Oryzias latipes: one gene and its partners. The protein of the gene in region 3 purifies or fractionates together with the protein of the main gene of each other region. This does not show direct contact. Links are inferred from orthologs where the notes say so. Each region holds a gene or a part of one and is shown on either strand. Other genes may lie near its edges.

Region 1 (4,317 bases), on a different chromosome or scaffold from region 3:
CAAGAACAAAACAAACATTTTTTTAATTATGAAAATGTTCATCTTGTGGAAATTAAAGGGGCTATCTTTAAGTAGAGATAGAGATATTCTTTATTGATCCCACATTGGGGAAATTCAATTGCTACAGCAGTTAAAAAGAAGAATGACAGCAATGTGCAAAAGACTGAAGGGGTGCTCAAAATGTGCAAAAATAGAAAAAGTAGCTACTCTTCATTCTAGAATTATGTTTTTTTCTTCCCATTCCTCAGTTTTATTGTGAATTTCTTTTTCTTCCTAATCTCTGTACCTCTCATACTCTCAATGTGAGGACTATTTAAAAATTTTGCAAGAGAGAAATGTTATTTTGTCTCCATAATTTACGTTCAGGTCTTCCTTTTAGGCACCAGCTGGTCATAAGAAAATTAAACCAACAAAATTAGGAAAAATTTGTAAAATAAAAATTTAGGATTTATTATACAAAAACAAGCATAAAAAATTCCTATAACAACCAGTCTAATGCTGAACCTTATACTGCCCAAATTCTTCGACAGGAATTCATGCACAATTTCAAATGTTTTAACGTATGTTAGCGTCCCCTGGGAAAAAGTACAGTTTATTGTATGAAGTATACTTAAATATAACTAAAGTATGTATAGCTACCATAGACCGGGAAGAGTAGAAACATTTCTTTAGACTAAATTGGAACATCCTAAGTTTGCAATAAATAGATAGTACCTTTATGAAAAGTAAACTTCAAGTATACTGCCTCACTTTTAGCATCGACTTGTAGTACACTTAAATAGATATATTTGTGCTAAAGGGTGGCATGAAGAAAAGAAGGACCTCTTCATTAAAGCTGATTGCAAATGTAAATAACTGTGGAAAACATGTTGCCTTTCTTGAGGCCCTGAACACGACCTAAATTCATTTTAACGTCAGAAAAGCGGAGGACATAAATACTACTCTTGTCTATGTTTAGCTTTTTTTAATATTGAAAACATTTCCTAAATGCTGAGGAAATGCCAAGACTAGTCCAGCCTTTTGTCACAAGTTTATCTACATTGAAGTCTGACTGCAAATTTAAGTCAACTCCTAAGTTTTACAACTCATAATGACAGTTGGACTGTCACAAAATGTACTTTTAAAACAACTAATGGAGACACCAATCATATGCATTTAATTGCACACTCCCACAAATAAAACACAGGAAGATTTGGCAGTGATGTCCTGGAGGTCAAAATAAAGGGAACACATTAAAAACGGTTGCAGTCCCAAAGCTCAAACAGACAAACTGCCAGCATAACTTCCTAATTATCTATTTACAAGAGCAATGCTTTTAACTTCTTCCTATAGACCGATGCTATACTGTCTTTGCAGCAAAGTGTCTTCCGCCCTCTCCGGCTGCATACTTACACCTCCACTCCTCTCTTTCCATACTTGGCAATACCTCTTTTGCTCTGCTGCTATTGGCTGCTGCTGAGACAGCCCGGAGTGACCCGGATGTGCAAAGCGAGGCCTGTTTTCTCGCCGTGGCCTCCTTCCTGTAGCCCGGTTGAGGAAGTAAATTTCGCTGACAGGGCTGGGTTCACTGAGGGAGAGGCGAAGAAAACATCTTCCGCAGGGGACTAAAATACAAATAAAAACCACAAAAAGCGAAAAGGACGAGTTGGTAAATTAAAAGCGAACCTAGCGCGTACCGGCATCTGTGGATCGTGCCCCCCTGCCCCGCTGAGACCGCCGCAGACATGGTGAGTAAGGGCCGCGGCGGAGCTGGTGGGAGAGACGGGGAAGGGTTTTGGAGGGGCTGCGGCTAACTATACGCCTTCAGGTGCTACGACAAGCGAGCAGTGGTAACATGAGAGGAATAAAAATAAAAATCACAGAGGCATCCAACCGTAATGAGGAGAGTAAATAAACTAGGACCGCTGTTCATGGACGGTTTGCCCGTCTCTTCTAGCATGTTTAGGTGTTAGCTAACTGTTACTCGGGCTACCTGCTAGGCTAGGCTTAAAGTTAGCACAGGATGTTTTGGATTTGACACAAGTTTGCTAGCAGCAGTATCCAAGACCCCAAATATAGCAGACATTGAAACTGGTTGATCTAGGAGGCGGCTGTCGCTAAAATAAGACTCGCTGCTCGTATTCCTGACCGTGACGGGCTGACCGACTGCCTCTGCTGCTGCTGCTGCTGCTGCTGGGTTTCCTGCTTGGGGAGTCATGACTTCCTAAAGGAAAGAAGACATTTACCCCAACAAGAAATGCCACAAATCAATGTTGACGTTTGAGTTAAACTAATGTTATTGTTCTCATTTAGGTCAGAAGAGCCAGACATCACTGCCAAACTACCAACAGTTATTTAAAAGATGAATAAAATGCAGCATTAGATGTTCAATTCTACTCAAATATTCATACATTTTTTCTAGATTACCTTCTAAAACCAAATTTGTTTAGACAGTTTTCACTTAAGAGCTTCAAACTGATTTTAGGGAAGATTTTTAAAAAGAAAATTGAATTTGTTCATCAAAATCTACCAGAAAGCTTTTGTCTGAACAAATAAAAGCACATCAGTCCATAGTGAGGATGGAAAGGTGCAGCATAATCAATAGAGGCCAGCCGCCACTTTAAACACTTTAGGTTGTTTTGTAAAAAAAAAAAAAAAAATACAAATGTTCAAAGCATTTGAACTATAATTCATTTATTATAAACATAAGACAAATGTTGTGAATGTCAAAGAATTTGATTAGTTTTACGCCAAAATAAGAATTTGTTCGCATCATGAGTTTCATGTTTCAATACAGGCTAATGATTTTCATTTGGTATTTCTAATAAAATCTAAATAATTATAACACAACTGGGTGAACATTTGTTTGTGTCCTGATATTGTTTGAACTTCCTGAAACCTTTCGAAAGAACAAAAACTAAGGACTTTTCTATCGTCTGTTAGTCCCATAAAGACCTGATAAACAAAAGGTTTGTTGTTACGTTTTAGTTTGAAAGGTTGTCTCACAAAACTGAGTTTGACATGACAAACTGTTCATTCTTATCCGTTGTAATGTCTCCAAACATTTAGCCTCTGCAGGTGTTTTAGACAACTTTCTGTCTTCCCAGCCATTTCTGTCCACTTTGTTTCTAAATTGCGCAGAACCAAAACATAAACCTACCATAATCAAAGTTATTTGACTGTTTAGAATATATTACAGAAGTCTGACTTGAAAGCCGGTTTTTGCTTGGTGACTGTTGGACTTTTCAAATGTCACATGAATCTTTAGTAACTTCCTAACAGTTTTCTGTTTCTGGAGCCGTGGATGTTTCTCTAATATTCATAGTTTGTATGAGGAAGCAGACAGTGACGCAGAAACAATAACTCAGGTGGAGATTAACGATAGAGGAAACCCAGAGTCCAGCTTTGAAGACATATTTGTTTTTGACTTTTTGAAATTTGGTTTTTGTTCAGGTTTTGAGCTCCCATCTCTGTCCTGCGTGGCTGAAAGCAGGAGCAGCAGATGTTGTTTCTCTGGAGTCGCCTTTTCTCTGAGCCTCGGTCATAATCCTGACCGTCCTGCCTTGCTAGTCTCCCATGACCCCGGGGCCTGTTGGCTTGAGCTAGTATTTACACAGAAACGTGCGAGGAACGGAGGTGACTGATGATGCAGATTAAGATCAGCTAAAAGAGGCTTAAAGATGGAGCCAAACAAGTGACTCAGAGGTGGAGAAATTGCTCCCCGGAGACGTTTTTTTCAGACTCTTAAGGAATGATTTATGGAGGGAAAGATTTTCTGCACTCAAACAGGTCGTCGTCGTTCGATCTGATAGCTGATGCAGCACAACATTTGTACAGTTTGTACACATTTGATCCTTTTTAACTCTGGGCAGAAGAATATTCAACAAAAGAAATGAGTAGAAATAGATGTAAAAGACAAACGGTGGAACTAAGAAACCGTTTTTTGTGACACGTTTCTAAATTATTTGTAATAAGATGGGTTATAAAACCTTTTCTAGTTGTCATTTGTCACAGTTAAAACACATTTAGCGTTTCAGTTTTTAGCATCAATCTGATCTGCTGTATCAACACAGACTAGCCTGTGAGGAATGTTTATGTGCAGAGAACTGCATCCACATGTGAGTTATTTATGTCGCCTCATGGCCTCTTCAGTTCACTTAAGTTAAAGTTTTTTTTCCAATTTGAAGAAATACACCTTTTGTGATCTAAACACTGTGTTTAAAAAAAAAAACTGTGGTTAAGTCAGTGTATGTTTACAAAAAATGTTCACATGACAAGTCAGGAGGTCTGCCTGTTCCCACACGGCGTTGTCCTGCCAGGGCGCCACAGATCCTGAAC
Region 2 (3,647 bases), on a different chromosome or scaffold from region 3:
ATAGCAAATTAAAATGAAGTTTACGCAAACGTTTATTCGCCATTTGTTGACTAACCCTCTAACGTTTACTCACCAAAGTGGAGAAAAAGCTTGCAACTGGCAAGTGTTACTTTCAGACACTTCAAAATAAAAGTAAAATTGCATTAGACTCATTCTTCTATTAAGAAAAAGTTGTATTGCAATATATGCAATTATCGTTTTATTGCCCAGTCCTAGTTTGAAGTGAAAGGACCTTCTTCCCTTTCCTCACTCTTTTCTACTAAAAAAAACTTTCCAAATAAAACTTCCTTCAGAATCAGATTAGAAAAAAAACGGGAAAATGTTGAGTTTTTTTTTTTTGTTTCGTTTCTGTGGGCTGGTACCAACTGTCGGCTGTAGCTCCTCCCCACCTGTTGTTTGTGCATCATCCTATTAGATGTGTAGTCTCTGTGCGGTTTAGATGGGCCAAGCAAATCAAAAAGCATCCAAATCTCCAATGTCTTTAGTTCTGCTGTTTCTCATGTGTGCCTGCCTGCTGTCAGATCCCTCTGCTGCAGGCGCACCCCCAGCTGAAGCAGTGTGTGAGGCAGTCAGTGGAGCGGGCGGTCCAGGAGCTGGTGCACCCTGTGGTGGATCGCTCCATCAAAATCGCCATGACGACCTGCGAGCAGATCATCAGGAAGGACTTCGCCCTGGATTCAGAAGAGTCTCGCATGCGTGTTGCCGCCCACCACATGATGAGGAACCTCACGGCAGGCATGGCCATGATCACCTGCCGTGAGCCGCTGCTCGTGAGCATCGCCACCAATCTGAAGAACAGCTTTGCTGCGGCGCTTCGGGTACGCCGAGTTCCTGCACAATCTTTTTGAAACGCAAAACTGTTTTCTCTGCTCTTTTCTTTTTTAACTCACTGAGTTTGAATTTATGGGTTCTGTTAGGCTCCAACCCCCCAGCAGAGGGAAATGATGGAGGAAGCTGCAGCCAGGGTCGCTCAGGACAACTGTGAACTGGCATGCTGCTTCATTCAGAAAACTGCTGTGGAGAAGGCTGGCCCAGAGATGGACAAAAGGCTGGCTACGGTGAGGGATTTAAAATATTCTCATTTCTTTGTTCACATTTTTATCAAAACAATTGAGCCCTATTTTAACATCTACTCTGATGTCTGTAGGAGTTTGAGCTGAGGAAACATGCTCGCCAGGAGGGACGGCGCTACTGTGATCCCGTTGTCCTGACCTACCAGGCTGAGCGGATGCCTGAACAGATCAGGCTGAAGGTGAAATCATGATGACGTCTAATTATGAATCATTAAAATAAGCCGTAGTTTAAAAGTAGTCGTCTTTTTTTCTTCTTCCCCTTAACGTTTTTATTTCTCAAAGCTGGAAAATTTCAGAGATTGTGTCTGATCAGCAGTTTTTATGAGACACGACGGGCTCGTGTGTTGCAGGTGGGAGGAGTCGACCCCAAACAGCTGGCTGTTTATGAGGAGTTTGCCAGAAACATCCCGGGTTTCCTGCCGAGCAACGATCTTTCACAGCCCACTGGCTTCCTGGCTCAACCCATGAAGGTGAGGTCATTTCCTGTGTCCGTCAAGGAAAAAAAAAAGTCCTAACCGTCATTCAGAAGCTGAAATATTGAATGTTTTTCCCTTTTCTTTCTGAAAAAAGAAACACATTTATTTTTGATATTCAGCTCTGTATTTTCTTTTGACAGACGAACCAGAAACATGTTTTTGACTCCATCCCTCTCTTGTGTTTCAGCAACAGGCATGGGCCACTGATGACGTGGCTCAGATCTATGACAAGCTAATTGCAGACATGGAGCAGCATCTTCACGCCATCCCTCCAACTCTCACCATTAACCCTCTGACTCAGGCTCTGCGCAGCCTGCTGGAGTCCGTGGCCTTGGCCAGGAACTCCAGGGATGGCATTGCTGCTCTTGGGCTGCTGCAGAAGGTGCGACTCTTGCAGCTCTGTGTCAAAACAGCTTCACAATCCAAGTCTCTCTGGCAAAAAACACCCGAGCTCCACTGACTTTAGAAATGTTTCTTCTGAAAGTCACGCATTCATATCGATTTGTTTGCTCTGCCCCTCCAGGCTGTGGAAGGACTCCTGGATGCTACAAGTGGTGCTGATGCAGATTTGCTGCTTCGCTACAGAGAGTGCCACCTGCTGGTGCTGAAAGCCCTGCAGGACGGACGAGCTTATGGACCACAGTGGTGCAATAAACAGATCACAAGGTGAGGGATTGAACTGGCTTGGTGGTGCAGTCATGTGGTTACCTTAACTGAGGAGCGATTATAGTTTTTATTTGAGGAATTCAGGGAAAAAAAGACCAGGAAGTGGGGGGCTCAGAAAGGAAAATAGGAGCAGGACTCCACATGCAGTAACTTGATTAAAGAGAACTTTAGTTCCAAAAGCAGAGCATGAACACACAGGAAAGGAAAGGAAAAGCCTCTGCAACAAGAGATAGAAGCAAACATGGAACCAGACACACAAAGAACTATCGGACTACTGTCGTTGCAGCATCTTTAGGCATAAGAATATTTATCCTCAGCCGTAACACGAAAAGAAGCAAAGAGCCAAAGGCATGATCAGAGGACGGGCCACCCAGATCCAACCCAAGTGAACAAAGCTTTATCTCTTCATCTTAATTTATTTGTGAGCTGCAGCTTCCTGTGAATTAACCCCTTTCTCGCCAGTCGCCAAATTAAAATCACTTTTATCAGACAGAATCTCAGACTTAATGACTTTGTTTTTCAGTTGTTTTTATACAAGCACTGAAAATGTAGCAGCATCAATTAACAGCTGCTCAGATGTGAATTCATCAAACCTCTATGATCAGAATAACAATGGTCCCTCATTATTTCCTAGTTCAATTATTGAGATATTGCTGTTGGACCGTTTTTTTTCTTTAGTGCAATTTGGCCTGCTTTGTTATCTTTATTTTTTAACACTGTCCTGTGTTCTGTACCTCAATTGGCTGTACAATTTACATTAAGATTAACTTTATTAATCCCCGTAGGGAAATTCAGTTGTAGCAGCGCCATAAAATAAATTCAAAATATAGAGGGAAGAAAGATGTACAAGCAGAACTCTCAAAACCCCCGTGTACATGGACAGTCATGGCTGCCAGATGAATTGTAGCATCTGATGGCAGGAATGACTTTCTGTACATAAATCTTTAATAGCGAGCAGATAGTTTTCATTCTATAATACTGAGGCTTTTTTCCTGCAAAGGTTGGAACTTTAAGAGTTTAAACAAAAATGTTCATGTGGAAAGAAAAAAAAAAGATGGAAGCATGTAAAGGGACCTTTCCCCGGACCGTCACACTGCCCTACAAGAACAAAACTAGAAAGATAAAAAAGAAAACTAGAGTTGGATTTAATCAAAAGATCTGAGTGTTCCTAAATGTAAAGGAAAAATAGGCCCACAGCTTTTCCTGCATTCATTCTAGTCTTTTTAATGGTAATGTTGGACAAAGCAGCATCCAGAGAAAAATGTAAAGTTGTAACCTGATGCGTGTTTCAGGTGTCTGATTGAATGTCGGGATGAATACAAATACAACGTGGAGGCAGTCGAGCTTCTGATCAGGAACCATTTAGTGAACATGCAGCAGTATGACGTGCATCTGGCGCAGGTAACCTGTTGTTTGTCGGTTCACATTTCTT
Region 3 (4,106 bases):
CATCCATCCATTTCTGTGTCACAGTGTTGTCTGTCGTAGGGCACACAATCACACACACATGCACACCTATAGGGACACTATTAGAGTAGCCAATTAACCAATGAAGCATGTTTTTAGACTGTGGGAGGGAGCTGGAGTGCCTGGAGAAAACCCACACATGCATGAGGAGAACAGGCAACTCCACAGACAAAGGTCCCAGTCGGGATTTAAACTGGGGCCTTCTCAGCACTAACCATTGTTCCACCTTGCAGCCCAGCGGCATTGTTATATTTGAACCCTGTTGAAGGGAATTTGCAGGACATGGGTGGGGGTGGTTGGGTGTGTTATGTTTTGGGGATGGCTCCCATCCTCGTCTCCTTGATTAGCTGTTTCCTCTATGTTCTTTCTTAACTCCATCTCTGCCTCTTTTTCTTCACGTTGTCTCCTTATTATTTGAAGTTTCCATTAATCTGTTTTAGTTCCTCTGTTTCTTCTTCTACCTCGCCTCACCTTTCCCTCTCCTGTCCATTGGAGAACAAGGAACAGTTTACCTTTAACTTGCATCTGGTATTTCATTTCTCACTGAGGTTATTGTAGTTAACAAGAAAAAACCAAACTAGATGTGATAAGGCACAAGAAGGAGACAGAGGCTTTGGGTAAGTAGCTCAATGACACCTGTGTTGACACCTTGATGCTACAAGACACAATCTCCAGCAGCTGCTCAGAGATCCGCCCAGCCTGCTGAAGAAAGAGGCGCACCATCAGACTGACCATAGCCACTGAGGAGAAGGACTGGAAGATACAGTTGAGGAGGAGGAGGAGCAGCATCATCAGGTGTCACTGAACTAATCCATGCGTATACCCCTGCAGGACTTGGAGAAGAAGCTGGATGTGTGCCGATCCTCATTGACGAGGCAGCTGTTGACCCAAAAGGAAAAGAGCAAGGAAGTCAGAAAAGAATCTTGCAAATAACAGGAGCAGACTGATCAGCTGAGCAGATACATCCTAAAGAGTTTCTGACTGTTTCATTCTCTGCCTTTTACTGACAGACAGATATTGGAAGTGGAGAAGTTCCACTATTGAGCTCATTTAATGAAGCCACAGAACTGTCTTCTACCTGATCAGCAGCCTGACTCGATAGGACGGATGTTAGATTTTGTTAATAAAGTTTGTTTATACTTAACTACAAATAAAGTTTATTCAAAATAAAAAAAGACGGCGCGTGCTCTCATTCTTACCATGGACAGTTACTTCCAAAGGGGGCGCTGTTGACAAACCGTGCGCTGGTGTCGATGGCGCCAGTGACCGAAGAAGAACCAAGAGAAGCGGCTACAGCAGTCAGTCACTGAAGCCGACCACAAACAGAGCTGGTCCGGTTCGTGTAAAACTCTTTCCAGTTGGATATTCAGGATTTCCTCTTCCCGGCGTTGTTCTTGTGTTCTCCTACAGCTCCGCGGCTGGATTGTGGATGAAGACCCGGGAAATGGCCGAAAACTCCGGTGGGTGTTCCGGCTGATGATGCTACTAACTAGCTGCTGCTCAGTTAGCGGCTGCTTCTGCATGATGATGATCCGTCAGTGTAGCTGAAACCCCCCCAAAAGACATTAGAGGTAGCCCGACAGCCCCGTGGCAGATCCAGGACTCCCAGGTAACCGTCCCGAAGTTGGGGTGCAGATAATACTGAGCAGACTGTGGTTAGATCAAAGTTCTTGAGGTGATCCAAGCAGGTCCTGCTGCTCATCATGGAACTATGACAGGACAGACCATAACTCAGACACAACACCACGTATGAAGGAACCCCAGCTTGGCCATGAACAGACGCGTCCCACAATAAACTGAGAGAAGGTCATTACGTCGTCATACACGTGACATTCTTTTGCTAAACTTAAGGCTACAATATCTGCCTTAAATGAGAGGGATTTTCAGAAATGGTCTTAGGAAGTTACCATGTGGGGTCTGAAGCCTCCAGAGTGAGAGGGAAGGACTGCAGAGACATGGCGCCCTTTGGGTTCTGGTTGAGCCACGCATTCCGTCCTCAGGTGGAACTCAGAGGGTTTGATGTCTCCTCTGTTGCAATTTCAGCCGAACGCAACGAGGAGAAGCATGACGGCTCGGGTGTGACGGGCATGAGCGACCAGGAGAAGGAGCTGGCCTCGAGTGCGTACGAGTGCTTCTTGGTAAGTCCGTCTCTCTTCGGATCGTCAGCAGAACAGGTTTTGGTGCATGTGGTGGAGGCTGGAGCTGGGTAATGCCACACGACGTGAAGCCTCTGTGTCTCACAGGCTGGACGGTACGAAGAGTCCATGAAGCACCTGGAAGCCCTGCTGGAGTTCAACAAAGAGGACTACAAGATCGCCATGAACAAGGCCGTCACAGAGTTCTACAGGAGCAGTCAGACCACCACGGGCACTTTGAGGCAGACGCTGATGGCCATGAAGAACCGGGTAACAGCAGCTCACCGACACCTGCACTCTAATACGTTATGAGACGTTTGATTGGCCGACTGTGTCCGCCAGCTCCACTCATCGCTGACGGAAGACGCCGATGGCCTGGACGACGTGGAGAACAGCCTGCTGTACTACAATCAAGCGGTCATCTGTTACCACTTGAAGCAGTTCTCTGAGGCCATTTCCATTGGAGAGAAGCTCTACCAGTTCTTGGAGCCGTTTGGTGAGTAGTCAGCAGGGCAGACTCCCCGCCTGCCGCTGTCTGTGGCACAGGTGCATGCTCTGCTCTGCGTCTGGACGTTCACATGGGGGTCACTGAGGTCACATTGTGAGAACACTGGGGTCCTGTTGTGTCCCAGAGAGGTCTGTTTCAGAAATGGAGAGTCCCTGCAGCCTCATTGATTATGGACCTGGAGTGTTTGACGACGCTGAAGTTGGCTTCCGATTCACAGCTTCCAATTCTCCAGGGGACTAAAGGAACATTCCACGGCATTTTTCACATGAAGGCCACGTAGAACCGGTTCCTCTTCAAACCCCACAGGGCCTGGACTGCTCAAACCTGGATTCCATTATGATTTAAATAGTAAATACATTAAACACAGATGTGGAGAAGTCTTCATGAATGTCCAATGAGGTTTAGTGCATGGACACACCATCTTTGGTCATGTGACCCTAAGGTCTGTGCTGAGCTCAGTTGACGAGTTTTCAGCTCCCTGGTAGTTGCTCTTCAACCAGATTCTACAAACTTCTAGCTTTTCCAATAATGGGAAATGTCAGATGTTGGGGGGGGCACACCCAAAGTCACCTGTCAGTCACCAGATCACGCCTCCTTTTTGATCCCAAATACCCTCAAATGGAAGCATCGTCTCCATTGTAGTGTCTGTAAATGTAATGAGAGGTCAAACCTGGATTTATGCTGGTGCTGCCTTTTCTGATGTAAACATCCCAGCTTTCTTTGTGATCTGACCAATCAGCTGATACTTTTCTTTTCAAACCAGCTTCAATGATGAAGTTAAAAGTCTTGGTTTGAGCCACATCTTCAGGCTGTCCATCTTCAGACGGCATGTTGTGCAGCAGGATCTGTTCTCAGCGCCTGTGGGTTCAGCTTTTTTCTGCAACGTTCTGTCTGAAAGCTCCTGTGATGGATCAAGTTCCCACAGTCACCGTCCTGATCCTCAGGGACGCGTCCCGCACAGTCTGACCCAACAGGAAGCCTGCTGGTGCAGACTGGACTGGGGGGGATTGCTCCATGCATGGCGTGCCTTACATCAGGTCTGCTCTCGGCTGTGTGTGTAAAGACTTTTTCATTTGTCCCAGAAGAGAAGTTTGCTCAGGCCGTCTGCTTCCTCCTGGTGGACTTGTACCTGCTGACCTTCCAGCCAGAGAAGGCGCTGCACCTGCTCGCCGTGCTGGATAAGCTGTCTGCTCAGGGCGGCAGCAGGAACGGGAAAGGAGAGGTAAGCGGCGCCGGCAGTGTGATGAAGAGACGCCTCATTTACAGGAGGAGGCTTTGTTCTACTTAGATTTGTTTAACCTTTTTCTGTCCCTTAGGTAAATGTTAAACCTTAAATCCTAATGATTTACAAGAACAAAGATGTTGAAAAGCAGAGTTATGGTATCTTTCGGAGTATAAATAGCTTTTTAGTTTGGGCAGGGGTGTGACTTATACTCAGGAGCAAA

What was found.
Region 1: the proteins of cnot10 (region 3) and capzb purify together in Homo sapiens (co-immunoprecipitation; 3 studies listed by BioGRID and IntAct, with this or other methods). This does not show direct contact. The link is inferred for Oryzias latipes from reciprocal best matches to the Homo sapiens genes CNOT10 and CAPZB.
Region 2: the proteins of cnot10 (region 3) and cnot1 purify together in Homo sapiens (affinity purification with mass spectrometry; 4 studies listed by BioGRID and IntAct, with this or other methods). This does not show direct contact. The link is inferred for Oryzias latipes from reciprocal best matches to the Homo sapiens genes CNOT10 and CNOT1.

The regions. Positions count from the first base shown.
Region 1 is NC_019863.2:2,090,631-2,094,947, forward strand, and holds the start of capzb (F-actin-capping protein subunit beta), read left to right. Parts: upstream 1-1,423; 5' UTR 1,424-1,724; coding exon 1,725-1,727; intron 1,728-4,317. UniProt on the Homo sapiens protein: F-actin-capping proteins bind in a Ca(2+)-independent manner to the fast growing ends of actin filaments (barbed end) thereby blocking the exchange of subunits at these ends.
Region 2 is NC_019864.2:25,882,116-25,885,762, reverse strand, and holds part of cnot1 (CCR4-NOT transcription complex subunit 1), read left to right. Parts: intron 1-521; coding exon 522-818; intron 819-917; coding exon 918-1,058; intron 1,059-1,147; coding exon 1,148-1,252; intron 1,253-1,423; coding exon 1,424-1,543; intron 1,544-1,736; coding exon 1,737-1,931; intron 1,932-2,072; coding exon 2,073-2,215; intron 2,216-3,507; coding exon 3,508-3,616; intron 3,617-3,647.
Region 3 is NC_019874.2:7,745,808-7,749,913, forward strand, and holds the start of cnot10 (CCR4-NOT transcription complex subunit 10), read left to right. Parts: upstream 1-1,251; 5' UTR 1,252-1,447; coding exon 1,448-1,478; intron 1,479-2,061; coding exon 2,062-2,156; intron 2,157-2,261; coding exon 2,262-2,423; intron 2,424-2,495; coding exon 2,496-2,649; intron 2,650-3,743; coding exon 3,744-3,883; intron 3,884-4,106. UniProt on the Homo sapiens protein: Component of the CCR4-NOT complex which is one of the major cellular mRNA deadenylases and is linked to various cellular processes including bulk mRNA degradation, miRNA-mediated repression, translational repression during translational initiation and general transcription regulation.